4 linked regions of the Notamacropus eugenii genome follow. The main gene of each other region encodes a partner of the protein of the gene in region 4 in a complex. Links are inferred from orthologs where the notes say so. Each region holds a gene or a part of one and is shown on either strand. Other genes may lie near its edges.

Evidence for each region.
Region 1: TADA2A (region 4) and KAT14 share a complex: the UniProt entries of both Homo sapiens proteins name them as parts of the ADA2A-containing complex. The link is inferred for Notamacropus eugenii from reciprocal best matches to the Homo sapiens genes TADA2A and KAT14.
Region 2: TADA2A (region 4) and DR1 share a complex: the UniProt entries of both Homo sapiens proteins name them as parts of the ADA2A-containing complex. The link is inferred for Notamacropus eugenii from reciprocal best matches to the Homo sapiens genes TADA2A and DR1.
Region 3: TADA2A (region 4) and YEATS2 share a complex: the UniProt entries of both Homo sapiens proteins name them as parts of the ADA2A-containing complex. The link is inferred for Notamacropus eugenii from reciprocal best matches to the Homo sapiens genes TADA2A and YEATS2.

Annotation. Positions count from the first base shown.
Region 1 is NC_092872.1:593,125,004-593,132,204, reverse strand, and holds the start of KAT14 (cysteine-rich protein 2-binding protein), read right to left. Parts: upstream 3,023-7,201; 5' UTR 2,844-3,022; coding exon 2,585-2,843; intron 1,337-2,584; coding exon 1,218-1,336; intron 466-1,217; exon of another isoform or gene 223-465; intron 1-222. Other genes in the region: protein PET117 homolog, mitochondrial, read right to left, coding at 3,165-3,314, 5,960-6,055. UniProt on the Homo sapiens protein: Component of the ATAC complex, a complex with histone acetyltransferase activity on histones H3 and H4. May function as a scaffold for the ATAC complex to promote ATAC complex stability. Has also weak histone acetyltransferase activity toward histone H4.
Region 2 is NC_092873.1:268,273,114-268,280,492, reverse strand, and holds the start of DR1 (protein Dr1), read right to left. Parts: upstream 3,006-7,379; coding exon 2,786-3,005; intron 1-2,785. UniProt on the Homo sapiens protein: The association of the DR1/DRAP1 heterodimer with TBP results in a functional repression of both activated and basal transcription of class II genes.
Region 3 is NC_092873.1:54,145,507-54,152,582, forward strand, and holds the start of YEATS2 (YEATS domain-containing protein 2), read right to left. Parts: upstream 3,023-7,076; 5' UTR 2,845-3,022; intron 2,568-2,844; exon of another isoform or gene 2,465-2,567; intron 2,307-2,464; exon of another isoform or gene 1,914-2,306; intron 1,777-1,913; exon of another isoform or gene 1,564-1,776; intron 1-1,563. UniProt on the Homo sapiens protein: Chromatin reader component of the ATAC complex, a complex with histone acetyltransferase activity on histones H3 and H4. YEATS2 specifically recognizes and binds histone H3 crotonylated at 'Lys-27' (H3K27cr).
Region 4 is NC_092873.1:376,158,962-376,166,437, reverse strand, and holds the start of TADA2A (transcriptional adapter 2-alpha), read right to left. Parts: upstream 3,006-7,476; 5' UTR 2,801-3,005; coding exon 2,798-2,800; intron 1-2,797. UniProt on the Homo sapiens protein: Component of the ATAC complex, a complex with histone acetyltransferase activity on histones H3 and H4. Required for the function of some acidic activation domains, which activate transcription from a distant site. Binds double-stranded DNA.

The sequences.
Region 1 (7,201 bases), on a different chromosome or scaffold from region 4:
ACACCAAAAAAATACTCAAATTTTCTACCTACTACTTATCTATTTACATCCTATACAGGTTAATGGCATCTATAGACAAAGCATAAGCCTGATGATGGCACAAATGTCTGAAAACGGTTTCTCACCCATATGTAAGGAGAACAGTGACCAGAGAAGTTCTTAAAAGACTCATAACTCAGATGTATGGGCATTATTAAAGAAACAGTTTAAAGGCTGCAGCATGTGATCAGACACCAGTCATTCGTCTTGGCAAGATGGCACCTTAAACAGAGAAGGTTCCACCCCTGCTGACACCATCCCTTCCTACCGGTAAGACCACCACACACCTACCATCTACAGTAGAACACTGCAAGTCTGGAGGGCATCTGGAGGTTACTTAACTCAGTTCCTAGAACAGGAGCTGAGAGCTGCAGGAAGGGCAAAGCAGCACACTCAGAGAATGGATAAACTTCATCATCATTTCACATATGCTGCAAGCCAGTGGCTCAAATCCAAGTGTGTAACAGGAAAGAACAATCAAAAGAAAATAGATGTCTTGAACCACTTCAAAAAACAAGAGTTTTTTTGCAGTTAGGAGTTACTGCAACTACCCAAATAAATCAGATACCAAAGGTATGCTGCTGAGACTTTAATAGAAAGGAGGGAAAAAAAATTTCCATTATAACTTTCAGCTAGTTATGTGGGCCAAAATGCCCCCAGAGTACACAATCTAATAGTTTCAGCTCAGGGTCTTCTCCAAATTCAAAGCGGTATTTTTTCTACTATACCACTTTGCCTCTCCTCTGTGCTATCACATCAGCAAAAGCTAGAACAAAAGGAGAGGTGAGGTGCTGTTGTTAAAACAGTTAGTTGCTATTTCAACCTCCAGAAAAGGTATAAGTCTAGCTTTGACGGGCAGATTATTTATGCTTCTTTCTGTTGCCTATAATACCTTAGGCAAGCCACTTAACCATTTTCTAGAGTGTCTACATCACTAAAAGGTAGGGATGAACTAGATCTTTAAGGCTGAAGTATTGCATATATATATATATATATATATATATATATATATATATATATATATATATATATATATATATATATATATATATATATATATATATATATACACACACATACACATAGGGAGAGAGAATTTAAATTGTTGTTTTCTTTTAATATGAACCAAACTTTCATGAGATACTATTGTCAACCTTCTATAATAGATTTTTACTTACTTGCTGCCATGTCAATCTCAGCCTTTCAAATTGTTCTTTACCATCCTCTGAACAATCTGAGCAAGTAAATCTAAAAAAGTTATCACCTTTGAGATAACTGAGCTGTTCCCTCAGCTGATCTAAAACAAAGTAAAAGGCAAACACAATTATTTAAGTTTTTCAACATAACAGGCAAAAAGGTTATCATATTTTATCAGTTCAATTTTTTCTACCTATCTTTGATCATATCTAAACTCTTACATCATAAAGGGTGCTGTGCTTTTTGAGCAAAAGCAGAATTGAGAAAGCACAAAGTAAAGGCAAGATGCGCAAATCTGGGATATCTACCCCAAATATTCACATGGACTATCTGTGCCCAACCTGTGATAAAACATTCCGAGATTGTATTGGTCTGATCAGTCACAGCTGGACACACTGAAATTTCACTTTATTATGGTGATGTCATTTTGGTCTTCTTCAAAGCTGAAGGACAACAGCTGCCCATCTAAACTCTTCCAGTGGTAGAAGGGTTCTCTATGATGCCAACCTTTCACCTTGAAACTTTCATTATTTTATGCAAGGAGAAAATTGTGGTAAGCGAAAAAAAGGGTGACAAGGAGACAAACCTCCTTCTCCCTTCAATGATCTGTCACTCTAGTAGTCTTATCCTAAAAACTTCTATATAACTTTCAACAATCTATCACTCCAGTGGTCATCTCTTCAAAACGTCTATATACCTTTACAATTCTAATCTAACACTTCAACAGACTTAGCGGGAAAGAGATAAAAGGCGAAAAAAATGGCAATTTAAGTCAAGTTTTCAGGACCAAAATGTTTGAAGTTATTTGCATAAAAAAGGGTAAGATCCATTTTTAATAAATATCATTCTATCTGATTCTACAGGAATAAATTGCTTTAATATTCCAGCAGATGATAAACCACTGCATAACTTTTGGCAAAACACAGGACAACTCCCCTTCTCAAACTGGACCTACAAAGAATATACCCTGCTGAATTTGTCAGACATTGATTTTGATTTAAGCTAAATTACACTACAATGGAATAATTTTTATCCATTTAACACACAATACTATACTAAAGTCCAACAGAAGAATCCCTATCTCCGTATTAGATTATATGGCTAACTACTTAGTAAGGTATGATGTTTGATTTGTGATGTTACCAAAAGATTCAATAACAACTACTTTAACAACATGGAAAAGTAACAAGAAGATATTACTTGAATTTATATTACTATGAAAGCCTCCTTGAAAATTTCAAGTTCTGTTTAGTCAATAAAATCAGTTTTCAATTATTGTTACTTTAAAAAAAAACCACTAAGCTTTAGGAAAGAAAATGAAAGAAAGAAAAAAATAAAAGGTCCTTACTGGCTGATATCCACTTTTGGCATTTATCACAGAAATAAGATAGCTGCTCTTCCATCCATGACACATCCCCTTCATCACTATTCAGTGAATCTCCACTCTGATCATGAGATAAATCCACTGAGCCTTGATCCTCAGATTCAACAATCAGGAGTGTTTCCCCTTCCACTTCACCTTCCTCCAGACCTTCTGAAGTGGATGTTCTCGTCGCATCATCATCATGACGACTCATCAGCCCACCAATGTGGACATTGTTATCCATCCTTTCTTGCCAGGAAGATTATTTTTTTCAATGACAACACTGGGGTATGGTTACCCAGTTAATATTGTTCATAACAGATAAAAAGAGGCTGTCTTTAAAAAGTGAATGATCACAATTAAAATCACTTAAATAGCAGGAATTTTTAAAGCAATTTTAAAACTTAAGTGCTATAACCCACTGTCTTTTTCTTTGAATGTTTAAAGGGCAAAAAAAATTACATGGGTGGAAGCAATCACTTAACTTATGACACGACATAGCTAAACAAAAAAAATTCCAAAACAATCTAAGCCTGTTTCATTAATATTTCGTTCACTTCACAACTCATGTTTTTTGAGAACCTTTTGCCAATAACATCTTCTCTCTTTCTGCTTCAAGATGCTTAGTCAAAATAATCTGTTCTTCCAAAAGATGAACATTTTCTTTTTTCCGATTTTGCCTCTCTATGTCTCTGAACACTCCGTCTCGAAGCCTCTAAAACACAAGGAAGGAACTTTAGTAACACCTTGAACACCAGATTTCCACCCACTAGTAATACAAGAAAAAAAATGTCACCAAGATGCACTTCAGACTTCCAAGTACAAACCCAAGTAGTGTTTGTTCTAATTTACCTAACTACAAATATGCAATATAATACAGATTATTTAATAAACACCATTTAAATCTTGTATTTTAACACATATTTTAACAAAACATTTTCATAATATTCCCAGAAAACTTCTGAAGGCTTAAGAACGAACTGAAAGTAAAGAATAATGCTACTTAGGCTTTTTTTTTAAAACCAGTGTAAACCAGAGTAAGATTTCACAATTAGGAAACACACTGCTTTAACTACAACTTTTAATTACTGTAACTGGGTACCAAGAATTCAGTTATCATAAATTATCCTCACTCATTAATAAATAACTGGGAAAAAAGAATTTTTATTTGTTACAAGTATCAAGTATAATAAAATCTACTTCAGGTGAAATTGTTGAAAAAAGGGAAGGTGTAAAAATAATCTAAGAAATAAAGAATACTAAAAATAACCTCCCCACAAAAGGTGACTTACATTTACAAAGAGTACTGGACTACTCCATAAAATTCATCACTGGGAATCATTTTGTTGATCAAATGAAGAAAAAAAATTACAACCTTCAGTACTTGAAAACTGCTCATATGTAATCAAACAAGCATTTATTCAGCACCTATGACTTGCCAAGCAGTATGCTAGGCATAAGGGATACAAAGAATGTATGCCTACTCTCAAAAAATTTACATTCTAACAGAGGATACAATGATGTGTGTATGCATCATTACAGATGTATATACACCCATACTTGTGTAATGTACTAGAAGCAGTAAATATAAGTATAAAACACGTTTATATCATATGTACATAAATATACAATGTAAGTATAGAGAAAGCAAACAAATACAGAATAGTTAAAATAAGAATAATTTGGGAAGGATACTAGCAGTGTGGAGGATTAGTAAAGGACAATAGGTTGTTAGTAAGCATTCCTTCAGTCATTTATTCATCAAGAATGTATGGAAAAATTACTTGATGTCACAAGTTATCTAGCACATACCTATTTAAATGCTAAATCCCCCAGTAGAACATTAACTTCTTTAAGGCAAAGCTTGGTTTCCATTGCCTTTGTATTTTCAGTGATTAGTACAGTTCCTTATAAATTAGGTGCTTAGTAAACTTTTAAGATTGGATTGCTTAGCACTAGCTATAGGAAAATAAAAGAGACTATCTTTGTCCTAGAAGCTTTAGGCCCATCACATTTTACAAGATTAAACAGTCTTGAGGTTATGCCACTCCAGTGTTTGCAGAAGGAACTAGGAGTCTAAAAAATAGGCTCCCCAGGGGAAAATGAAACCAGTTTTCAAGTACTGTAAGGACTGTTCACAAGGAAGAGGGATTAGATTTGTTCTTTTTTGGTGAGAAGCAAAGAATGCAAGTTGAAAGGAAACAAATTTAAGCTTGATAAATTTGCATGGAGTGCAGGTAGGTAGCACAATGGATAGAGCGCCAGGTCTGGAGTCAGGAAGACTGGAGTGCCCATCTGGCTTCAGATGCTTACTAGCTGTGTAACCCTGGGGCAAGTGATAAAATAGCTAGCCCAAATGGCACAATAAAGTTTGTAAATATCTTTACATATTTTATATCTTATTTGATCCTCACAACCTGGTGAGGTAGAAGCTATTATTATCTCCATTTTACAGATGAGGAAACTGAGGCTAACTGAATTTAAGTGACTTGCTCAATGTTATAAGTGTGTGAAACAAGATTCCAACTCAGATCTTCCTGTCTAGCATGCCTGGTCACAGCTCCAATGAGCTAAAACAACATAGTAACAATAAATTGGTAACAGTTATGGAACACATTATGTACTTTGTTACAATTAATTGTAGCAGCTGGCATTAACGTTAACGCTTCACAAGGTTTACAGAACACTCTACAACTACTCATCTCATTCATAAGCATCTCACAAGACACCCCGAGAGATAGGTGCTATTATTACCCCATTTTACAGATAAAGACGGGGGCGGACCGAGGTGAAGCGACCCGCAAGGCTAGTAAGTGTGAGAGACCGAATTGGAATTCGGGTCTTCCTGATTCCAGGTCCAGAGCTCTATCCACAAGGGTACCCTGGGTTTACGGAGCTTATAGCCTAAGAAGGGCAAAAGAGACAAACACGTGTGAAAGGACTCACGTTTGTACAGCGTTTGGGGCTTTACCGACCCATTCTCCACACCAAACCCCCGGAGTATTAACACTAAGACTCGCCCCATTTTGTAGGTGGGTAAACGGAGAACACAGCAGCATTACCACTGTCACGATCACGGCGGCAAAACCCCACTAAAGGCAGCTGGGCTTTCGACCGGTGAGAGCGCAGACGAAAAGGGCTGCAGCAACGCGAAGGCCACGCGAAAAGGAAGAGGAAGTGAAAGTGGCGGGCCCGAGCCAGGTCGGGCCGGGAGGCGGGGCCTCGGAGCGCGCAGCCGCAGTCGCCTAGTGCCCGCGGGCCGCGTGCGGAGCACGTCCAAGGAAACTCCGCCCCTCCCAGGAGGGGAGGAGGTGGGGAGTGGGGGGAGGGGAAAGTGGGGCTATATCACGTGGTCCTGACCTCTCGGTCCTGCTTCTGCCGAAGATGCACCCCGGCGACCGTGCCCACCGTGAGCACCACAGAGAGGCCCAGCACCACCTTGGAGCTCCTCGACATCCCTCCCGGGCAGCTGGCCGCGGAGAGGCGGCGAAAGCAGCCGTTACCCACAGGAGCGAAGCACCGGACGACCAGAAGGCGGGGAGCTGGGCTGCGGCGACGAGCGTGCACGACGGTGGCGAGCCCCTTCCGGCGTGCGCGTCCCCGGGCCTCCTCCAGGCTTAATCCCTCGAACGCCGAAAGTCCCCCCTCCGACCTCGCATTCCAGGCGCAAGCAATAGTGAGCTGAGAAATCGATCACGCTTTGCTTTCTCGCTGTCTCGATTTAGAGTGGAGTGTTCTGATTCCCTCTGGCCACGTGATTGCAGCTCCATAGCACCCTTCATCTCATCTTTCGTTTTCCATACCCCCCCTCCTTCCGCTTTCTTCCACCTAAAAAAAGTCTAAAACTACTCCAGGGAGAAACTTAGGGAAAATGGGCTCCTAAAACTAGACGGACCTTTTCTAAATAAGAGTTTTGCGGCATGGAAATTGTATAAAGGTTTAAAATGGTAATTTTTTATAGCAATGCCCAAAGCTTGCCACCTTAGTAGGCACCAGATTAAGTAAAGGTCCTCAGTGATCAAGCGTTCCTTCTAGTTTTTCTAAGGCGTATAATAAAGAGTCACAGGCTAATGGAAGATATTTGGCATTTCACTCAGGGTAGGGAGACCTGGTTTAGACTTTGTCCCCGGACGGGTTGGGGCCAATGTTCAGAATTTTTCCTTGGAGACTTAAAGCGTTGACTTTCCTTCCCCTTTTGACTTCTGTATTCCACTTTAATAAATGAATGAATTTTTACAATGTTTTATTAAGCACCTAACTGTGCCAAGCATTGTGCTTAGCCTTGGGAATATGAAAAGGGTTGCTAAAACACTCTTTGCTTTCAGGGAGCTTTCTTTTTAATGAGGTGACAACATAAACTGGGAACTGAATGACTGGAGGGGAACAGGGTTTTGTAATTTAGAAGGGCATTCGGATAGTAAATGGAACCTTCATGGATACACCTTTTTCAGTATCAACGGCAGCATTGATTTGATTGTTTCAGAACTGGAAAAAGGGAAAATTGGAGGGAGGGAAGGGGAGAGGTAAGAGGTTTTTCAAGGTTCCATAATGGTTGATAAAATGACCAAAGCTGGTTGTTCCAAGAATGAGATTTCTTAAAAA
Region 2 (7,379 bases), about 110 Mb from region 4:
GTAATGAATTGTGACTTCACACAAAATACTAAATGTGTTTTCTCTCAACTTGATATAAAACAACTTTTCAAAATAAAGCATACAGCTGATATCATAAACTTTTTCTCACATTAGCTACTTTACAGATCTATTCAGATTAATTGTAATCCTTCCTTCTTTATCTTTTTATTTCTAATGACTGAATAATGATGATTTGCTGAATCCACCCTTACAGTGGATTCCCACTTAAGAGTGCTCCCACTCTTAAGAAAGTGGCAAGCAAAATGTCCAGAGGCAAAAGTCTAATCTAGTTTGTTAAAGAACCCACCACTAAAAGTCTAAATTCTTCGGCAACCTAAAACCACAAGACTTGTGCAGCTTCCTCATCTGTGTAAATGGTGTTAACTGAAACAAATACTTACAACAAAGTAGGCACCATATCCACATCTATATTTTCATCTGCAATTTGCCCATACTTGCCAACCCTAAGTTTCCAAAATGTAGAGACATTCTTTCTCTGCAAAAACACTAAGAACACATCTTTTAACAATTTTTAAAAAAATACCTGCAGTGAAGGACCTCCCAAATAGTCTATATCATTTCCAATTTCTAGGAGTGGGGAAGGGAAATAGAGATGGTGTTTATAATAAAATGTGATTTTACAATAAATAGAATCAATACCAAAAAGGAACAATTAATTATAGCAGTTCCCATAATGTCATGTAAGCAGCACTGAAAGCAAGAAAATTTGCACACAATCCCTTGCAAGTTACTAAACTTCTCTCTAAGTCTCAATTTTCTTTTACATAAAATAGTCTACCTCAAATAGCCATTATGAGACTCAAATGAGATACTGTTCTCAAAGTAGTATAACTTTCAACTACTATCATAATATTATCACATTATTTGTAAAAATGTTATGTGCTGGACACAGTACCCAGCACTATATAAATGTTCATTCCTTTTCTCCTTCCCCTATTATTGTTGTTTATAAATTAGTAAAATAACTTTTACTAAGGTTCTTAATTCTGGATTCACTGGTTAGTGACAGGTATAACCATAAGTATTCAGAACTGAACATATTCTAATGTTGAACTAATATTGTTTGCTACAACAGCACTTTCAAGCTATTGTGTTAACATTAAAAAAAAAACATAAAAAAAAAAAACCTCTAAAATTGATTAAACTCTATTAAGAAGTTCATTTGCAAATCGTTATTAGATTTTGGAAAGATCATCATTTCAAAGGTGTGAAAAAAATGTTAAAGCAGATTCCTTTAAAGTCTCTTGTATTTTTACATGGCAGTCAATGTTGACAAAGGAACCTTTCCATTTTTATATGAATTGTAAAAAGAAATTGTATTCTGTGGGGGATAATGTTGTATAAGAAAAAATGTTTCAGTAGTTGCACAATACAAAATAGCAATATAAACAAAAGAATATCTTTACCTTTCAAGTTTTGGGCTTAAGTATGAAATCAAAAAAGCTTTTAAAAGAATACACTTTCACCATGAATCTATTAAAGCAGTCAACCTGGTTTACTGGAGTTTGGTCATGTCCCCCCCCTTCACTTACTGAGAAGTCATGGTATATTTTAAACCTACTTTCAACATACCAAAAAGGAACTACAATGGATCATTTAATTATTTTGTCAATATCGACTGTAAAATGTCACCAGTGCAGTAACAGGTACATTTATTAGCATGATACCACACCTGTACAATGCTAGAGTGCAAGTATTTTCCACATCACTGTGATAAGACTATTTCCATATATATAGAAATAGCAACTGTGAAACTCAAAAGGTAAAAGGCAAACTAGAAGCCCGCTTAAAGTTTTGATTAACTGAATTTTTAAGAAGCAATGGAGACACAAATTAGCAAGGTTGAAATTTATATTATGAAATAAGGTCATCATTTCAAATTTAAATACTTTTCAAATACTAAGTGGATAAAAGAAAAATGAAAAAAGTGTCATACTGCCTTCCTTAAGGAGGGCAGTCAGTACTCACTCAGCCCCAAGACCATGGTGATGTACTAAGTCTCCAGAATATCTCCATCTCTTGACACTTGACAGCACCCTGCACATTTTCTACTGCTAACTGCTGAAGTTGTTTCAAAGTGCCGTTCATGAATGGCTGTCTGTGTAACTCCGAGAGAGTGATTCAAGGGGGTGAACAGAAAAAAATTTAACGTAAAAACCCTTGTTATAAGCTACTGGCCACATGCAATACTTTCTCTTTCCAGTTCATAACCTGTCTGTGGGTACGCAAAACTGAGGCAACGAGGGCCAAAGTAACATCCTCTTCGGAAAAGTTATGTCTGCCTCCACAACAGAAATAAAAAACTTTTTTATATTTCTTGAAGTACTCATGTAATAAGGAACTCCACACAGTAGAAGAGACGGTACCTTTGGTTTTCTTTCAAACACCCATCTTAGGCTAAACATTTTTGCTCTCCTAACAAAAAATTTCGAAGGGTGTTCACTTGCTCCCCATCCCAACCCTCCAAACTAAAGACTGTCTGTAAAAATGAAGCCAGAAACCTCGTGTTCCTTTTCCAGTCGGGCTACGATCTAGGTGACTGCCCTGGGGCAGGTGCTGAATCCCCTCATTCACCGTACCCCTCCGAGAGCCCCCTCCTCACGACCCACTATCTCCGCGGGAGGTGTCGCGGGGCACAATCATTAACCATGTCTGTGCCGACGCGCTCGGGGGTGCCCCACACCATGGGCTTCCTCTCCGGAGCGGCACAAAGGAAAGCAGCCGGGGCCGGCTCCCTTCCACGGCCCCAGCGCCCCCCGCTTACCTTGTATGACGTGTTCCGGGGAGATGGTCTTCTTTTCGGATTTGTTGCAAATCTCGTTGGCCTCGGAGGAGACGAGGTGGATGAATTCAGTGCAGCAGTTCACCACCAGTTCCCGGGCATCGTTGGCCACTCGGACATTGGGGAGAGTCTCTTTGATCATCTTATTGATAGCAGCTCTGGGGATAGTGAGATCATCATCGTTGCCAGACGAAGAGGCCATCGTCTCGTCTCGTCTCGCCCTCCCTTCTCTCTCTCCCGGGGTTTAAAAAGTCCCTGGTTCTGGACCACTGGCCCGCAGAGACCAGACAATCTTGCTCACACGAGGACCCGGCCGCCTCTGGGGGCGGCGCGGCCGGGGCACAAGCCCACAAGCCCGGGAGAGGGTGCTGAGTGTGTGAGTGGGTAAGGGGTGACTTGGGATCGTGAACACGGGAGAGAGAGGAGCCCGGCGTGCTCCGGGAAGTGGGGCAGCTCAGAGTCGCCTCCTCAGAGGGGCGGGCGCCGTCCCCCGAACCCTGGTGCGATCCGGGGGCCTGGCCTGGCCGCCGTACCGGGCTGACACCCCAGGCAGGGGGCTCGGCTCTAGAGAGCCCGAGCCGCAGCCGCCGCCTCCGCCGCCGCCACCACCTGCTGCCGCCGCCGGCGCCACCAAACCATTCTTCGGGCACCGGCACCGACGCCGCCGACTCACAGCATGTCGGCCGTGGCGGCCGCCGCTATCGCCGGGAAGAGAACACGGAGCGAAGTCGGGCAGACGAGGAGCCGCAGTGGCGGCCGCCGTGGCCGCTTAGCCCGGATGCAGATCGCGGAAGCCGGAGCGGAGAGAGAGACGGCTTCTCCTGAGGCCGGGGCAAAAGGGTTTGCCAGAAGCTGCTCCCAAGAGCCTTTGCGCGGCCGGAAGCGCCGGCCTCCTCTAAACTCCTACTTCACTTCCGGCGAGGAAGAGCCGCTGCCGCCCTTCCCCCCCACGGGCGTTCGAAAGGGTCCGGAGCGGCAGGCTCCGGCGTCCTCGCGGGCCTCAACGGCCACTTCTCGGCGCAGTTTCCCCAGACCGGTCCCAAACGGCCCCGCGGCCTAGGGGGGACCCCGAGGAGGGCAGGCCGAGCCTGGCCTCCTCGGAGGAAGCCCCTTGGCTGGGGGCGCGGAGGGGGCCGAGCAGAATCGATCTCGAAGCCGAAGGGCAGCGCGCTCCTCGCGGCCCCTCCGCCGAGCCGGATCTCGTGCCCGGCCCCCGCCCCGTCTCTGCCCGGGCCGGGGGAAGGCGGGCTGCTCTGGAAGGAAGCGGAGGAGTTAAAGTGTTAGGAGAGGGGCCAGGCTTTAGGGCTACAAGGGCCGCTGGGGCGTCGTGGGCCGAGAGCCTTTTTATGTGTCAGTTCGAGGGTGAGGGGCGAAAAAATAGCCCTCCCTTTTGGTTCGCCTTTAGCCCTAGGCTCCATCTTCACCCCAAAACTGCATACTTGTGCGACTGGGTATCGGAGAGGAGAGAATGCTGGACCTCCCCAAGGGCCCCTTGGACCTGTGTGTGCCAAACCTCAGTTTATTGAGAGGCCTGGGCTAACGAACGGACTTGTGAGGTCTCCTGCCCCAAATCTGTGATTCAAAGAGCCCCCTTTGGGCCTTGATTTCCATCAGAATGGGGATGGGAGGCTTTTGGATGCCGTGGATAATGGGGGCCTGCTGGAGACGCTGCTGCTTTCACTCTTCCCAGCTGTGTGATCTTGGCAGGGCACTAAGCCTCTGGGTTGTACAAGTATCAGTCGGCATTGATGGAGGGAGTTTCCATGCCAGAAGCCTCCCGTGCTGCTAAAATCCCAAGTCTAGACCCATCTCCAAAATATGGATAATGGGAATTGGGCTACCCACCCCAAGGGGGTTGTTCGCAAAGCACTCTAGAAATGTGAGTTACTGTTTTTCATGGTCTCTGGATAAAGCTATTTTTCTCCATTTTGTGGCATCTGGTTGTTTGTGTTTTTTAATTTAAATTTTGTCAGCAGGTGCTGACGGTGACTAAGGTGGAGTTAACACCCTATGGAGAAATGGTGTGAGAATCGGGGTTGATGGTATAGTCAAGGCCACTCCTCGATATTTGGCTTGCCCGGAGTGCATTTCCAAGGGCACTCTCCCTCTTTGCTTGAATATATCATAGGCGTATCTTAAGCAAATAATACACTGGGGAGACAAAAATGCTGGAAGGGCTAGGTAGAAAGAAGAGTAGGAGCCACCAGGAAGGAATACAGGGGTGAGAGACACTTGTAATATTTATTTAAATGCACATAGTTTTTAATGCTATAAAATTCCACCCTTCGTGGCAGGTAAATATTTATATTGTGATAAATCTTAATGTTACAGTGACAATTCCTGTGGAACGTACGTGCAATTTTCAAACCTTGCTTAGTTCTCACAAATGCCTTATCCTACTTCTTATTCCAGGAAGAGCATGTCATCAAATTCTCCAAAGTTAGTGCTTTTAAAATTTAAAAACTATTCCATACAGTGATTTGTGAGGAAAAGGTCCCCTCATTCAGCAATGATAAAGTATTATTTTAATATCAAAAAGGGTGAATTTCTCTGCTATAGGTTTTTTTTAAAAGCAAGTTGGAGAGAGCCATTCATTAAACCTGATGGGTCTTTCAGTTCATCAGATTGCAAACTGAAATAGTTATCAGATTTTTGTATTGTCTTCTGAAACCACAGGAGTTTTGTTATGGTGAAGCAGTTTGAATATTCTAGCCTTATCCCTAAGGTTGGAGAAAGGTAGTCAGCTGGTTTATGAAGGCTTTGTTGTCATTTACTTATTTTTTACTCTTTATGATTCCTTTTTTAGAGTTTTCTTAGGAAGAACACTGGAGTGGTTTGTCATTCTCCAGCTCATTTTCAGATGAGAAAGCTGAAGAAATAGGGTTAAGTGACTTGCTGAGGGTCACACAGCTAGTAAGTGTCTGAGGCCTCATCTGAACTCAGGTCTTCCTAACTGTAGCTGGGGCACTCCCTCCACTTGGCCACCTAGCTACCAAGGCCTGCTTGGGCGAACTAACTTTTCTTGTAATGAATTAAGCAGAGGGGGAGTGCATTGCATTAGGAAGATAGAACAACAGCCCGGGGTACCCTTCAACCACAATTTCCACACTATACCAAGTACCTTGTGACTTTTACTGCTCAAGAGTACTTTGAAGTTAATCATCCCCAGAACATACTGGGATTAAGTGATGCATAAATTGGCTTGTTTGTCTGTGATGCCAATGACTGTCAGAAGGAAAAAATAAAACGTTTATAAAAGACAAACATTGAGTGTATTTGCCCATTGAGGTGAGCACGCAGGGCTTTTTCCCCCAGTGTCTAGCTGCAGCTCAAATTGGTAGAAACTAATAGCCAGTCAGTCCACTCGTACTAAACAGCCTGACGAATTTGAACCAGTCAGTTCATGGAGCCATCCATTCAGTGACTTAGGGGTGGTCAAATCTGTCTTCAAGAAAAAATGAGGATAACAAATCAATGGAAGAACCTTCCGGGAGAAAAAGATCGTGTAGTCCGAGCTGTGATTATATAATAACCAAAGATTACAGACTTTAGTCTGTAATCAGACTACCAAGTAGTTACTTTATAGAATTAGATAAAATAATAAAATTACTTGGAGGAAAGAAAAGGTCAAGAATCTCAAAGGAAATAATGAAAAAAGGTAGGAATGAGGGGAAGTTAAAGTTACCAGATTGTGAACAGTGTTATAAAGCAGTAATTGTCAAAACTTTTAGCAATGGTTAAGAAACTGATTGGTGGGAAATGAAGAAGTACTCAAGACTGAAATAAACATAATAGTCTAATGTTTAATAAGCCCAAGAGCACAAACAAAAAAGAACACAACCTCTGCCTCAGTTTCCTCAGCTGTAAAATGGGAATAATAATAGCACCTACCTCCTAGGGTTATTGTGAGGACCAAATGAAATATTTTTAAATTAGCACAGTCTCAGACACATAGTAAGTGACAAGAGTTGCTGAGAAAGCTAGAAAGTAATTTAGCAGAAATAAGGTTCAGACCAACTTCCTACTCTGCATACCATAATCTACTACAATTGAGTGCATGATCTAAATATAAAAGATCACATCATTTTCAGAAAATTGAGGATAATATACAGATGTTTCAAGTTTAGGGAAGAAAATTTTAAGGAATAGATATAATTTTAAGAGAATAGGTAATTTTGAATACATAAAAATTAAAAAGTTTTTGTGTAAGCAATTGTCATTAGAATAAGCTGTGAACTGGAAAAAATCTTCGTATCAAATAGATAACAAAATGATGAAAAATTGGGTCAGACAGAAGACACAGAAACCAGAGAAATTCATACAGAAAGTACCATAACAAGGAGACCCACAGAAACTAAAAACTGCCTTAGCAAAAAGTTGATAGTTAGATGGTAGCCAAGGTCCTCACCAGTTTAGAATATAAAATAATTTGCAAGTGTCTGGTAATTGTTTGATTTGTAAGATATGTCAACTAATATGAACAGGCAAATAAAAAAGAAGCTATCAGCCATTTAAAATAATGCTCCAAATCACCAATTATAAGGGAAATGTAAATTTAAACAACTCTGAGGTTTTA
Region 3 (7,076 bases), about 320 Mb from region 4:
TTACTGACAAGAAAAAGGAGAGGTGGAAAATAACAAGTATTTATTGAGCACTTATATGTGCCAGGAATTGTGTTAAGTGCTCAATATCTTATTTGAAGTTCAGAACAACCCTGTGAGGATTTTTATTATAGATCCTGTGAGACTGCTATTATTTTATCCATTTTACAATTGAGGAAACTGAGGCAAACAGAGGTTGACCCAGGGTCTCACAGTTAGTAAGAGTCTGAGGCAAGATTTGAACTGAAATCTTCCTGATGGCAGCTCAGCACTATCTCCACTGCCCCAATAAGGAATTCAAAGAAGCTTGGGAAGATCTGTGGGAACTGACATCAAGCTATATGAACAGAATCAAAAGAACAAGATACAGTATGTCTACAGCAATGTCACTAAAAAGAAATCAAACTCCCTGTAACTGAAAATCAAATGAAGATCCCAGAGAACAGACAAGGACATGCTGCCCCTTTGTAGGACCAGAAGAACACTACACGTGATTGTAAGAGTATAAAGTCAACACTGAGAGGCTCCCAAATTCTGCTTCATTATATGTTAATGGTTTTTAAGAAAACCTTCAAAAATCAAAACAAAAATGACACCCAAGATTTCCAACATGGGAGCCTGCGAGTGGTGGTGTCCTTGGGGAGCCCATTGTACAGAGCATGAGATAAGTTCAGTTTCAGGCAGGACCAGATCACAGTGGAGATGTCCCCCAGGGCAACTAAAGTTAGGAGGCTGGGACCTGGAGGATCCATCAGGCCTGACCGTGCAGTGTGCATCAGGGTAAGAGTTATAAGTCATAGGAGTAAATGAGATTGCCAAGGAACAGTGTTTAGACTAAGAAAAAGGCCAAGGACAGTACTGCTGGGGAAAAGGTGGCCACAGGAGAGAAGAAACAGCTGCCAGAAGAGCCCCGGGCGGCATCCAGAGTCTCTGAAGTCAACAGGCAGGGCATCCAGAAGAGAATGGACAAGGTGACCAACAGGAGCCAATATTTCAGGAAGGTGAAAAAACAAGACTGAGGACAGTTGGTGACTAGGGAGAAGTGAGACCTGTGAGAAGAAATGGCAGGGGAGGGCATCAGACTGCAAAGAGCCAAAGGGCAAGGTGCAAAATCAAAGGACAGAGGAGAGATTATTTCCAGCATGACTAGATGGTACAGAGAGGTCTCCTTAAGGTCCTGGGCATATTATACATATATCGACTCTAAGTTTTAAACCTAAAATTTTCAGATAGATATTTGTCGACCATGGCACTACTCTTCTGTTACTTATCTCTTGCACTGTTATTTAAATTAGACGTAGATCATCTAATAATGTACAGTATATTATCTGTGACACGTTAATACATAATATTCTGTACGTTTAATGCAACATATAAATGACGCGTATACACATTCATAAACACACGTATAAAATCTCCCCATTTAAGTAAGTTTCCCCATTCCAGGGGGCTGAATGCCCTCCTGGGCAGCCCACCCATGGTGAACACTCAGGCAGTTTTAGGTACAGAAACCTAGCTACGACATCCCACGTCTAGGGTGTTTGCCAGAATCAATCAAGGATTTACAGCGCACTGACGAAGCTGGCCCGGCCTGGAAGGCTCGGCTCCGGCCCATTCCGCTGGGGGCTAGGCCAGTCACTTCACCTCTGCAGAAGATGCCATCTACCTAAGCGGACGGGATTTTCTCCCGGGAGTCCCCAGCCCAGCCCAGCCCAGCCCGGCCCAGCCCGGCCCAGCCCGGCCCGGCCCGGCCCGGCCCAGCTCCAGGAGGAGCCCTCGCACTCCGGGATAACGCTCCAAACGCCTTAGAAAGGCCCAGGACAGAAGCGCTCACGCTGAACAAAGGTGTCAGGTTTCCCAGCCCCGGAGCCAACGGGTGACGAGGGGCGGGGCGGGGCGGGGCGGGGGGGGGGGCAGCCAGCTCCAGGCCCCCCCCAGAAGCCCCCACCCCCATCACCAAGCCCACGCAGACCTCACCTCTCGGGAGCCCTCCCCTCTCCGGCTCTGGGAGATGGGCAGACGGGAGACCCCATTTTACAGCCGAGGAAACTGAGGCCCGGGCCTCCCGGGCAGGAATGCGCGGGATTTGCCTTCGGGGCCCCCTCGGTCCACCCGCGCAGGTCCGGGGAGCCTCGATGAGATCTAACAATAACAGCCGCCGCTTAAAGCGCCTACAAATATGTCCCACGGAACCCTCACATCACTCGGGAAAGTGGGGGAAACGGAGGCCGGCAGCCTGGGGGACACCTGCCCACGGTCACGGACCAGGCGAGGCCGGAGCGGGATTGGAACTCGAGCCTCCCTCAAAGGTGAGCAAACCCACGGGAGCACCCCGCGCTGAGGAGCGTTATGCCCTTGGACCCCCTCGGGACTCAGTTTTCCCATCTGTAAAGGGGAAGGTGGGACTCGGCGGGAGCCGGCGGAGCTCGAGACAAATCCCAAGAGCGCCTGCCCTCGGGGAGCTTACCTTCTGGGGGGGGGAAGGGGAGGGGTCACAGGGCCGAGCACAGGCACGCTCGCGGAGACACACAAACACCGGGACCGCCCGCCCCCAGCCCCGCCTCCCGGAGGAGGGGGAGGGGCGCCGCCGCGCACGCGCACGCGCACACGCCCGCCCTCCCCCTCCGCCCGGACAATGGCTCCCGCGGGAGGGCGCGCGCGCGCCCAGGAGCAGGAGCACGCGCCGCCGCCCCGCGCACGCGCGGAAGCCAGAGCAACAGCACGCGTCACCGGGCTCCCCTCCTTCCTTCCCCCCACCCCCGCACACGCACCCCTCCTCTCCCCCCCGCCTCCTCGCGACCCCCGGGCCCCGGACTCCCTCGCACTGTCCCCTCAGAGGGTACTCACCCTTGGATGAGTGCGAGGCCAGAACCCCGCGGCCGGAGCACGGCAGACGCAGGGCGGAGAGGCTACTTAGACCACGCCCCGCCACGAGGCTCCCAGCTCGGCGCGGCGCCCGACGGGAAACGAACTGCGCGGCTCGGCTCGGCCCGGCCCGGCCCGGCCCAGCCCGCTCCGGACGTCACGCGCGCGGAAGGGCGCGCGCTCGGCGGCGGCGGCGTCGGCGGCGGCGCTCGGGCCCCCAGGGGGCGGGGCCGGGCCGGGAGCAGGCGCGAGGAGCGGGGGTGGGGAGCGAGGGTGGGGGAGAGCAGAGCTGTGAGAGCGCTAGCGGTGCCCGGCAGGGGGCGCTGCAGCCCCAGGCCGGGCTCCGTTTGGGCTCGGAGGCCGGAAGTCCACCGCAGCGTGTGTGTTTTAAGCGCCTGCTGTATGCGGGGCTCAAAGGAAGGCGAGGGCTCTGCCCTCTGGGAGCTCGCGGTACAATGGATGAAGCCTTTATTGAGCGCCTACTGTGTACCGGGCACCGCGCCTGGCGCTTCCCCTAAGGCGCCCCGGCTGGACACAGACGAGGGAATCTTCCTCTTGGGACGGGGCCAGGCGCCTCGGAGGAGGTGGATCCTCCCCCTGCCACCCCCAGACCCGCAGCCCCCCGAGCCCTCGGGGAAACACCAGCCCCCCATTCCAAGGGGGAGCTGATGGCACGCGTCCCGAAATGAAGGAAAACCGGTGAAAACCGCTGGGCCGGTCTAGACGGGCCCGTACACGCCGGAGGGCGAGAACGTGGCAAAGCGCCCTCCGCGGCCGCCCGGTGCCGATGACCAGGCCCGCGAGGCCCCGCCGTGCCCGGACAGCCGGGGCCTCGCCCCATCTCCTCCGCCTGCCCTAGGGCCCGGCCGCGCCCTGCGCTCGGGGCCCCTTCCCCCGTCCGAGCCCGCCCCGGCGTCTCGGTCGGGAAGCAGCCGCCGCGGGCCTCGTCCTGCCGGACACCGGCACCTTCATCCGCCGCTTCTTAGGCGAAGCCTCGCAGCCGCCCGTGACAGGCCCCTCCCGCCCGGGCCCCCGTAGCGGGCATCAGAAGGCTGCCCACCCCGAATGCCACGAGATGAGCATTCTGTTTGGTTCAGTCTTGGAAAGTGCAGACAGGAAAAGGCTGTTCTAAAGACAGACGGAAATGGCAGCGGTGCGCCCCGAGGAGCTGGAAAAGCCTGCAGGTCAGATTTGGACCCTCAACCTCCAAGCCAGAGGGGGGAACCTGCAGCCTTGAGGCCTTCTGGGGCCTTCGGAGGAGGCCAACCTTTACAGGACACATCCTTTGGTTAAGGGGATTTGTTCCGGGAAGTCTGGATTCGGCCACAGGACTCGAGGACCTAGAGGGCCTCCTGTGGGTCTCCAGCCCTGCTCCGGCTCCTTCCGGGGCCCGGGATGGCTGATGCAAAGGTCCAGGCGGCTGGACACTTTAGTTCCCTCAGTGGAAAAAGATGACTCACCAGTCAATTTGGTTATCCCTAATTCCATCCAACCCCAGCTCTTCCCTTCCCTTTGCCAAGGAACCCTCTGGTCTTAATTTGGTTAAATAGCCTCTTTTCCCTCCTGTTCCCCCCCGCCCCCAAGAAAATGAGGCGTGGAGTGACTCAGGGAGAAGGTGGTTTATATACTAAGGTTTCACAGGATTTACAGCTGTGTATGACACACAAGGCACTGGAGGCTTAGAGCAGAAATGGTCAAATTAAGTACCGGAGCTGGGACTCAAACCAGGTCACGACTCCAAATCTAGTGCTCTTGTATTATACTACAGCTGAATAAATGAAAAAGCATATATTGTTATACAACACACGTTGGCTTAGCTAGGGAAGAAAGAGAAAGGAAAAAGAAAGGGAAAGAGAAAAAAGATGAGGAAGGAAAGGATGGAAAAGAGACAGCCAGATCCTGCTCTCAATTAGGAAAGTCACTAAAAATGTCAGCTGAAAAATGGGTGGCTAGGCCTCTAGTCCCTGGGGACAGCAGGTCAAATGGGACAGCCCTGGGAGTCTGGAGGATGAAGGTGCAGACTGGATGGTGAGGTCTGGTAGACCAGAGCCAGATGGAAAGGCCGAGCTGGGGATTCAAGATCTCATTGTGGTTTGGTTCCAAGCCCTCGGGCTGGGTAAGAATGGCACAGAGAAAGCCGGGGGTTCAGTGACGTCGTTTATCCCTATTTGCTCAGTAATAATGCCTATGCTTTGCACACATCAGGGTCTTCAGCTTTTGCTGAATTTTAATTTTCCTGTACTCAGTCAGATCAGACCTTTTATGTCCAAAAATAACAGGCTGGGCTGCCGTGCAGGCAACATACTTTAAACTGAGGGGGCTGCTTCTGCCTCAGGTTAGCTGACCTTGGTTGACCCCTTGACCAGCTCCCTTCAGCTCCAGATTCAACATGACTTGGCGCTGTTGATTCTTACTGGCAAAAGGCAGTTGTCTCTCTTTAATTTTTCAGAATGTCAAGCACAAAAGTATTAGTTTTATCAATATACATATTTATTGATTCTTTTAAGTCAGGAAGAGGGGTGGAAAATGCAGAAATCACCCTAAAAACCATTTGCTGCTAGACAAATTGCTTTCCAAAATACTTGATGTTTGGGGGGGGTGGCAGCTCTTTTGATGCCCAGTGAAGGCCAAGAATAGGGTGACTAAAGAAAGCTACAGCCTCTAAACCAAATGAAATAACATGTAAAGCCCTAAAGACATTTTAGCTGTTATTAATGGTCTTTACATTAATTAACCAAAGAACCAACCTCCTGGTGTTGAACTACTGCTTGGGTGGGCTGCTCTAAAATGGTTTCATGGCCACCATGTCTGGGCTCAGAACTTTTCCAGCTTAGACAACCCTTTCGGCATTCAGGCTTAGTTAATATAGCCTCTGAGGAGGTTCCAACCAAGAAGTTCCCTCGTTTCCCATTACACACATCAGAACATTGACTGGTCAAATAACGGGAGTGGAAAGGCATGATCATCCACAACCCATTATTTAGCCCAGAATATTTAAAACACTATAAATTCTTAAGCTTAAAATATCAATTTTTCTTCCAGCAGAATACTTTCTAAGTGTAAGTAAATGATGTAATTTCCCAGAACTGTTCCCTGTGCTTTCATATCTCTGCTCTGAACAGTGTGATGACAGATAAAATCAAGTTTATTCTAAATTGATACAAAAGATGCAGCTGAATATTAACTTTAAAAGCGCAGGTTAGGAAAAGGCCAAAGGCTTATTTCACAACTAACCCATCACCCACAGGGTCTAGCGTTAGAGGCTTTCCTGTAAGATAGCACAGAGTGGGCTACTTTGTGTTAATCTTCACTCTTCCAGACTTATCACAAAATCCACATTTGTAAGGAGCCTCAGAGGTTTATTTGAGAGATATTTCTGTGAAGAAAAACTTACTGCAAACAGAAGTTAAAAGATAAAATTTATTAAGTACATTACATTTTTTAGAATTTGAAGAAAACTTTGCAAGTACATTGAAATAGAACACAAGTACAGAGGGGCTACAACAGAACCTTAAAGACACCGAAATACAAGGTGATCTTTCTCAATGCTGAGGCACCCCGGAACTCCAAACTGACAATAAAAACGGCCATCACTGCTCCGGACTCCCGGCGAGGCTGCACTTGTGTCCAATCGGATAACTTGTTTTTACCAGTTAACCCCTAAAAAAGGATTAGCTCAACAGTTTTTAATTTTCCATAAATAAATTGGCAAAAAGTAACAGCTTTCAAGAAAGATGAAAAGAAAATCCTAGTGAAGGATGGTGCTAACGTATAGTGAGATGGCAAAAAGAAAATTAGTGGATGTAATTTCTTGATATGCAAGTATAACCTCATGTATTTCAAATGAAATTTTATCAGATTAGGAGGTTATCTCAATGTTGTAATAAGCACCTTGGTCTGAAGACAGAAGAGAAATAAAACCACCCATGACATTCTGCCAAGCAATTGTTAGAGTACTGCTTAATACGCAATCGAAGGAATCCCTGGAACTAAGATGCGACCAATTAATATATTTGAAAGCTATGGAAAACGCAGGAACCAAAGAGAAATCAATCATAAGCCTTAGGCCACAGCAGCTTCAGAGAAGTAAATTATCACTATTTAAAGTGTTCTCATTTTCTCCCATTTTGCCTAGTATTCACTACACAAATTAAAAGGTGGGGAACCTTGTTTGCACTACAGGAAACAAATATGATATTTACCTAAAGCAATTA
Region 4 (7,476 bases):
AGGGAAATGGAATGAGCACAGGACTTAAAGAACCAGAAGACCTAGGCTCCAGTTCCAGTTCTGCCAATGAATATTAGCAAGTCACTGTATTTATTTTACGTGTACTTATATCTGGTCACATTGTCTCCCTGATAGAATACAAATCCTTTAGTATAAGAACTATATGATTTTTGGTTTTGTATTCTGAGCACCTAGTACCTGACATAGAGCAGGTGCTTAATAAATGTTGTTTAGTCATTTCTGACTCTTTGTGACCCCTTTTGAGGTTTTCTTGGCACAGATACTGGAAATGGTTTGCCATTTCCTTTTCTAGCTCATTTTATAGATGAGGAACCTGAAGCAAACAGGATTAAGTAACTTGCCTAGGGTCACACAGGTATCTGAGGCCAGATTTAAACCCATGAGGATAGTCTTCCTGATTCCAAGGCCAATGTTTTATCTACTGCATTGCCTAACTGCCCTAATAAATGTTAGTTGATTTGATTGACATCTCTCTCAGCCTCAGTTTCAGCACCTATCAATGGGAGTAATAATTGTTTTCACTAGACTCACTGGGTTGTTCTGAGAAAAACTCATTCTGTAAAATGCTAGGTAAGTGTGAGCTGTTATCACCTTGGTTCTTTGAAGGTGAAAATGGAAGCAAAAGCCAGACATTACCTTCCACTGACAGTGGACTGGCTTTTAGACTCCAAGAATCATTTGGTTGACCCTGATGTTTTCTCAGTGGAAGGGAATTATTCACCAGTAAATACAGACAACACCCATATAATTCCACCGAAAAAGAACTAATTGGGGAGCAATCCATCAGAGAAAAGGAGAAGAGAGATGCAAACTTCTCTCCAGAATCGAACAACATGGGTCCCAGTCTGCTCTTTCATATTTTGATCACATTGTACTCCTTCATACACCCTCTATTCCAGCCAGACTAGCTTATATCCTCTTTATAGGACTAGCCATGTACTAATCATCTCCCACCTCTGAGTCTTTACCTAGGCTGTAACCCTTTCTCTTGGAATGTATTTATTTCCTACCTCCCACACTTAGATCTTGTGCTTCCTTCAAGATTCAGCTCAGGGTACCCGTCTACATGAAACCTTTCCTCATTCTCCTTATTTCATTGGTCACTGCTCCTTGTCCCACCCCCAATTAAGAGTATTTACTTATCTGTGTAAATGTCTACAATAGAATGTAATATCCTTGAGGGCAAAAATTTTTGTTTGTTTGTTTTTTAGCCTTATATCTTCACCTCCTAACATAGGAAGCATGTAATACATGCATCTGTGGCACAGGCATGTAATTACGTATATTGATTGAACTGATTTAATCGATTTCCAGGAGGGGTGGGTCTTCAAAAGTAAATATGTGCACAAACTGATTGACTGATTATCAACCAACCCAACAACTAAATGGAGAACTATCTGGTTTGGATTCTGCTCCTTCTATATCCAGAGTTCTTAACCTGGAGTCTGGAGCTTTATTTTTTAATTGATAAATTGTATTCCAATATCATTGGTTTCCTTTGTAATCCTATGTAACTTATTTTGTGCATTTAAAAACATGATTCTGAGAAGACTTCACCAAATTCTGCAAAAGGATTCCAGAACACAAGAAAGGTAAAGGACCTCAGATCAAGGGATGAGCAGAGTAAGATGTGTTAACTACTGCAGCAGAGAAATCAGAGAGGCAGCAGCTCTCCATCACCCCAGGTGGCCAGATATCAGAGGGACTCTTACTCATGAAGGACCAGAGACATGACGTAACAACTCCACAGGAGAGCACAGGATTCAGCTGGAAGGGACTTTAGAGGGCATCCTCTAACTCCAACTCCTCAAGCCACAAATCACAAGATCAAGCCCCTCCAAAAGTGGGAAAGGTCATAGACAGTGAGCAGAACTGAGATTCAAACCCTAGTCCTCTAATATCAAATTCAGTGCTCTTTCCACCATTGTCAGTGGGAGTCAAATTAAAAGTGAGAGGTCCACTAAACAGTACATGATAACATCTATATTTTACTGTACTTTTGTTAACTATCTGGTTCGGGCAATTCAGGAGTCTAGCAGGCAGCATGTTTGACACCTCTGCCCTACTTGAGGCCATGAAAAGGCAGGAAAATGGTCAGGTTCAAGGAAACATTTAATCAAATTCAACCGGATTCCTGAGAAGTGTGACTAGAGCACCAGACTTGGAATTCCAGAAATGAGTTCATATCCTACCCAAGACACATGCTAGCTGGGTGACCATGGACAATTCACTTACCATTCCCAAGCCTCAGTTTCCTCATGTGCACCACATACCCAGAAGGGCTATATTGTTGTACAATATACGTAAAACTGAAAAGTACTTCACAAACCTTAAAATCCACATTTCTTTTGGTTGCATCACACTTTCCATGACCTTGCTTGGGGTTTTCTTGGCAAAGATAGTGAAGTGGTTTACCATTTCCTTCTCCTGCTCATTTTACAGATGAGGAAACTGAGGCAGACAGTGGTTAAGTGACTCGCCTAGGGTCACACAACTCCTAAGTGTCTGAGGCTGGATTTGAACTCGGGAAGATCTGGTTCCTGGTGCCTGAAATCTACCCCCTCTAATAAAGGGTTAGTAATTGCTACTGTAGCAGCCAGGTAGCACAGCAGCCAGAGCGCCAACCTGCCTCCAACATGTCCTAGCTATGAGACCCTGGACAAGTCACTTAACCTGTTTGCCTCAGTTTCCTCATCACCTCCCGGCGTTGCTGTATCCAATGAGAAATCACTGGTAAAACATTTTTACAAACCATAACGCATCGTACAGTTATTACCATAAACTTAAAAGACCACAGAATTGGAGCAGTACAGGTGTTTTTCCCTCGCTCTGCTACGGGGTCCAGGCAGAATGGCCGCCCCCACTCCGCAGATGGAAAAGCTGAGGCCGCGGGGGGGAGCCGCAGGGGCAAGGCTGCAGAGGGGAGGGGCTGCCGGCGGAGGTCAGCGGGGTCACGTGCGCCGTTCCCCCAGGCCTCACGCGCTAGCTCGCGCCCATCTGCCCCGCCCCCCTCCGCTTCACTCCCGCCGGCGCGGCGGCAGCGTGACCACGCGTGCCTCCCCGATCACTCCTCTACGTCGGCCTTGACGCCAGCCTCGGCCCGGGCCCCCGCGCGCCGGCTCGCCTGGGAACGCCAGCTCCCTCCCCTCCTGCCCCCGCCTCCGGGCCCCCGCGCCCCACCCCCTGCCCCTCGGCCCCGCGGCCGGCCACCTCACCTCGCCGCTTCCCCCTCCTCCAGGGCCAGGAAGTCCAGAGCCGTTCGCGCGCACGCAGGCGTGTGCAGGCGAGGAATGCGCGCGCGCCTATGGCCCCTCCCCGCGCTGCTCCGCCGAGCATGCGCACTTCCGCGGCCTTGGGCGCGCTGCTGGAGTGACTACCCGGTGTGCAGGTGCTTTTAATGAGGCTCACCCTACAGATCGGGCAGAAATCGCTTGCCACGTGCAGCCCCTACGCATTTACTAAGCACCTCCTGTGAGTCGGGCAAGCGCTGTGCCAGGCTCTAAGGCTATGATGACAGGATATTCCACCTCCACACTCCGGGCTATTATTCACGTCTTGTCTCTCGTGCCAGGTGTGCTCTTTCTTGTCTCCGTCTTGTGGCTTCCCTGACTTTCTTAAAGTCTCAGCCAAAGTCCTGCCATCCGCCAGGGCCCTTCCCCGCCCTCTCTAATCTTACGTTAAGACTTTCTGTGGAATCTTCTAAATCCATCTTCATCGCCCTTCCCTTGGCTATTTCCGGTTCGTCTGGTCCTCCTCGCTTGCGGGTGGTCTCTCCCCTTGGGGTGAAGCCGCCCCTTGAGCGGCGGGACTGTCTCTTTGTGTTGCCGGTGCTTGGGGCAGCGCCCTGCGCTCAGGAGGCCCTTAACGCGTGGGTTACTTTGGTTTGGAGCAGCCCCGTTCCGAAAGGAGGTTACGTTATCCTGGGCTCAGGGCAGTACAAAATGTATTCACGCAATTTCCAGAGGAAGAGAGACGCTGGGGAGACCAAGGAAAGTCCAATCCAGAGGTCTAAACTAGAAGTCCTTGAGGGGAGCTCCAGGTGTGCTTGGATTCCGTTGGTTAAGCGCCTCGTGGGTGCTAGGAGCTGTGCTAAGCGCTTCCGTCCTGCTGGCTGACAGCTTTGTGACCTTGGGCGCACCTGGGCGGGCTCCTAGGTCCCTTCCAAAGCGCACTTTCTGTAGTCCTGGGTCATTTATTTACCCTCTCCGGACCTCGGTGGTTTCGTCTCTAAACCAAGGATAATAAATATATCATCTTTCCCATTGGAAATAGTTGGTCCTTAAAATGATCAACAATTGGGGGTTACCAGTGTTCTGATTACTAATAGAAGCCTTAAAAGGGTTGGGATGTGGGAGAAAGTAATTGCCCTCCTTGGAATCCCTAAAGATAGGGCTCTCCCAATTTTAATTAGTTATTTATAGTTCAGAGAATTTAGAGCTGGAAAGGCATCACCTGACTCAAGGAAATCATTTTATAAATAAGGGAATTGAAGCTGAAAGAGGAGAACGTCCCAGGTCACAGATGTCAGATACAGGATTAGAACCCAAGTCTTCTTGACTAAAATTTAGGATTCTTGACGCTATGGCATTCAGACTAGCTCTTTATGTCACTAATTTATTCACTCCCTTAAAAAATTTTTTTTTTCTATTGTACATACATACTGAGTCAAGTTTATGGCTCTCCGTGTATAGTAGTTCTTCCTTAATTAGATGTTTACTAAGAGCTGATCCATTCTTTTTTAACAATATTCTCCTCTCACAAGCAAAAGACTCATTAGTGGAGGGATAAAGAGGAGAGGTGAGAGAAAAACATGAAGTCTACTCTCATCACATTCCACTAAAGGAAAGAATAAAATGCACACTCATTTTGGTAGGAAAACCTATCTCACAATACAGGAAAGTGGGGGACAAGGGGACAAGCAGGGTGGGGGGGATGATAGAAGGGAGGGCATGGGGAGAAGAATGCAATTCGAGGTCGACACTCATGGGGAGGGATAGGATCAAAAGAGAATAGAAGTAATGGGGGACAGGATAGGATGGAGGGAAATATAGTTAGTCCTATACAACACAACTAGTATGGAAATCATTTGCAAAACTACACAGATTTGGCCTATATTGAATTGCTTGCCTTCCAAAGGGAAGGGGTGGAGAGGGAGGGAGGTAAAGAAGTTGGAACTCAAAGTGTTAGGATCAACTGTAATGTTCTTACCACTAGGAAATAAGAAATACAGGTAAAGGGGTAAAGAAAGCTATCTGGCCCTACAGGACAAAAGAGAAGATGGAGACAAGGGCAGAGAGGGATGATAGAAGAAAGAGTAGATTGGTCACAGGGGCAATTAGAATGCTTGGGTTTGGGGGGGGAGGGGACAAAAGGGGAGAAAATTTGTAACCCAAAATTTTGTGAAAATGAATGTTAAAAATTAAATAAATTAATTAATTAAAAAATATATATATTCTCCTCTCAGTGCCATATGGCAGTCAATTCTGGAACACAGAAATCACAGAAAAAATCAAACTGATAGACCCCTCAAAGGAAAATGAAGAAAGATGTAGCCGACCTGATGATTAAGATGGCTTATGTTAATTACCAAAGATGACTTGTATACAGGAAGTAGCATAAAAAACATCATGGAGGAAGTCAGAAAAGGATATCAGTCTTGTAGAGCAATCTGTCAAGAAACATTCATCAAGTGCTTTTACCTGTTCAAGTACTATACTAACTGGGGCAGCTAGGTGGTGCAGTGGATAGAGCACCAGTGCAGGAGTCAGGAGGACCTGAGTTCAAATGTCACCTCAGACATTTGACACTCACTGGCTGTGAAATAGCAGGAAATTCTGGGAAATAGTGTCTGTAATGTGTTTAGCTATTCAAGGAAGAATTAGTTGTTGGGGAGGGAAGGAAAGGGACAGCAGTTGTTGTGCAGTGTTACCATTAGAAAGTCTAGCAGTCCATATGCTTTACCTAAAGCAGTACAGGAGAAGAATAGGAAAATACGAATAAATGTAAAGTACTGGTCATTGAACAAGAAAATTAAAGTGGACCAGTATGCCATGCCAAGAGAAAGGAAGGAAAAGAAGCATAGTAGCACACCTACTGTGGGCCAGGCAGTTTGCTAAGAGCTTTATAAATATCTCATTTGATCATCACAACCACCCTTGGAGATAAGTGCTGCTGTTATCCCCATTGCACAGTTGAGGAAACTGAGGCAAGCAAAGATTAAGTGACTTGCTCAGGATCACACAACTAGTCACTAAGGTCAGATTTGAACTTGGGTCTCCCTGACTCTAGGTCCAGCATTCTGACCATTGTGCCACCTTCTCCTTTGGATTGTTTGCTAGGCAGTCAGTGCTTGGACTTACAGAGTAGTTACCTGTAAGGCCAAGCAGTAGAATCTTTTGCTGTTTTTGTTTTGCTAAAAGTGCTTCTGATTGAAAAATGTGATTAAAGAATATCTTCCTCACACATTGATAGGTCTGCCCATTGAGGGAAACTTAAGCTGATTTGTAGGAGGGTCCCAAGTACCTTTTGTTTTTTCTGTTGAGGCACTGGGTCAGAGGGTCATGCCCTCTGGTTCTGAGAAGTGTATAACTGCTCCGAGGGTGAGCTTTTACTTTGGGGCTTACCTACTGGAAGTGTTTGTTTGGCCAGAGGAGGACTCTCGGAAGCCACTAAGAAGCCCCCTGGCTTGGAAAACCCAGATGTTGGTGCTTCCTTCTCTGGTAACTATGGTTTTCTTTGGCAATGAAGGACGAACACACACATAACTATGGTCAGACAGTTGGACCTGTTTGTAGAATAGTAATGTGTGTATTGATTATGGACAGACAGAGGAAGCCATGTCTGTTATCTTTGATTTCTCTGTATTTTCTCTGAAGTTCAGGGTGCTGACTTTTCCCCTGAACTAACTGAATGATACATGTGCTTGATTAAAGTGATTTTTAACCCCTCAAAAGTTGCCTTTCCTTTTATAAATGCTGATCTAAGAACCTGTGATAGCAGGTCCCCCTGTGTATGTTGGGGTGCTTACTATTACAGTACCATCAGTTCCCTGGGGCAGATGAAGACAAAGAGAAGGCAGCATTTATCCTCTCAGCTAGATTTTAAACAATTTGAGAATATCCTCATTCCCCCTCTCCTTCTTATTTGCCCCTACTCCAGGCATCTCTGGGATTATGTGCTACTTCACAATGGCAAATGAAAAAAGACATTGGAGACATAAACTACATGGAAGCATTGCGGGACCTAGGTGATTGCTGTGAGCTCAGTAGGCACTATCAGCCAGGGGAGGCTAACATAGGTGTACCAAAGATAATGAGATACTAATGGTGATGGTGATACTCCTGAAAGGAGGGAAAGCTAGCTATTTGTGTTACTTATTTGTTTTGGGCTGCTCCAGGATGGACGTACACCTTCCATTTGGTAGGTCAGATTTGAACCCAGAGGATGCTAGTGGCA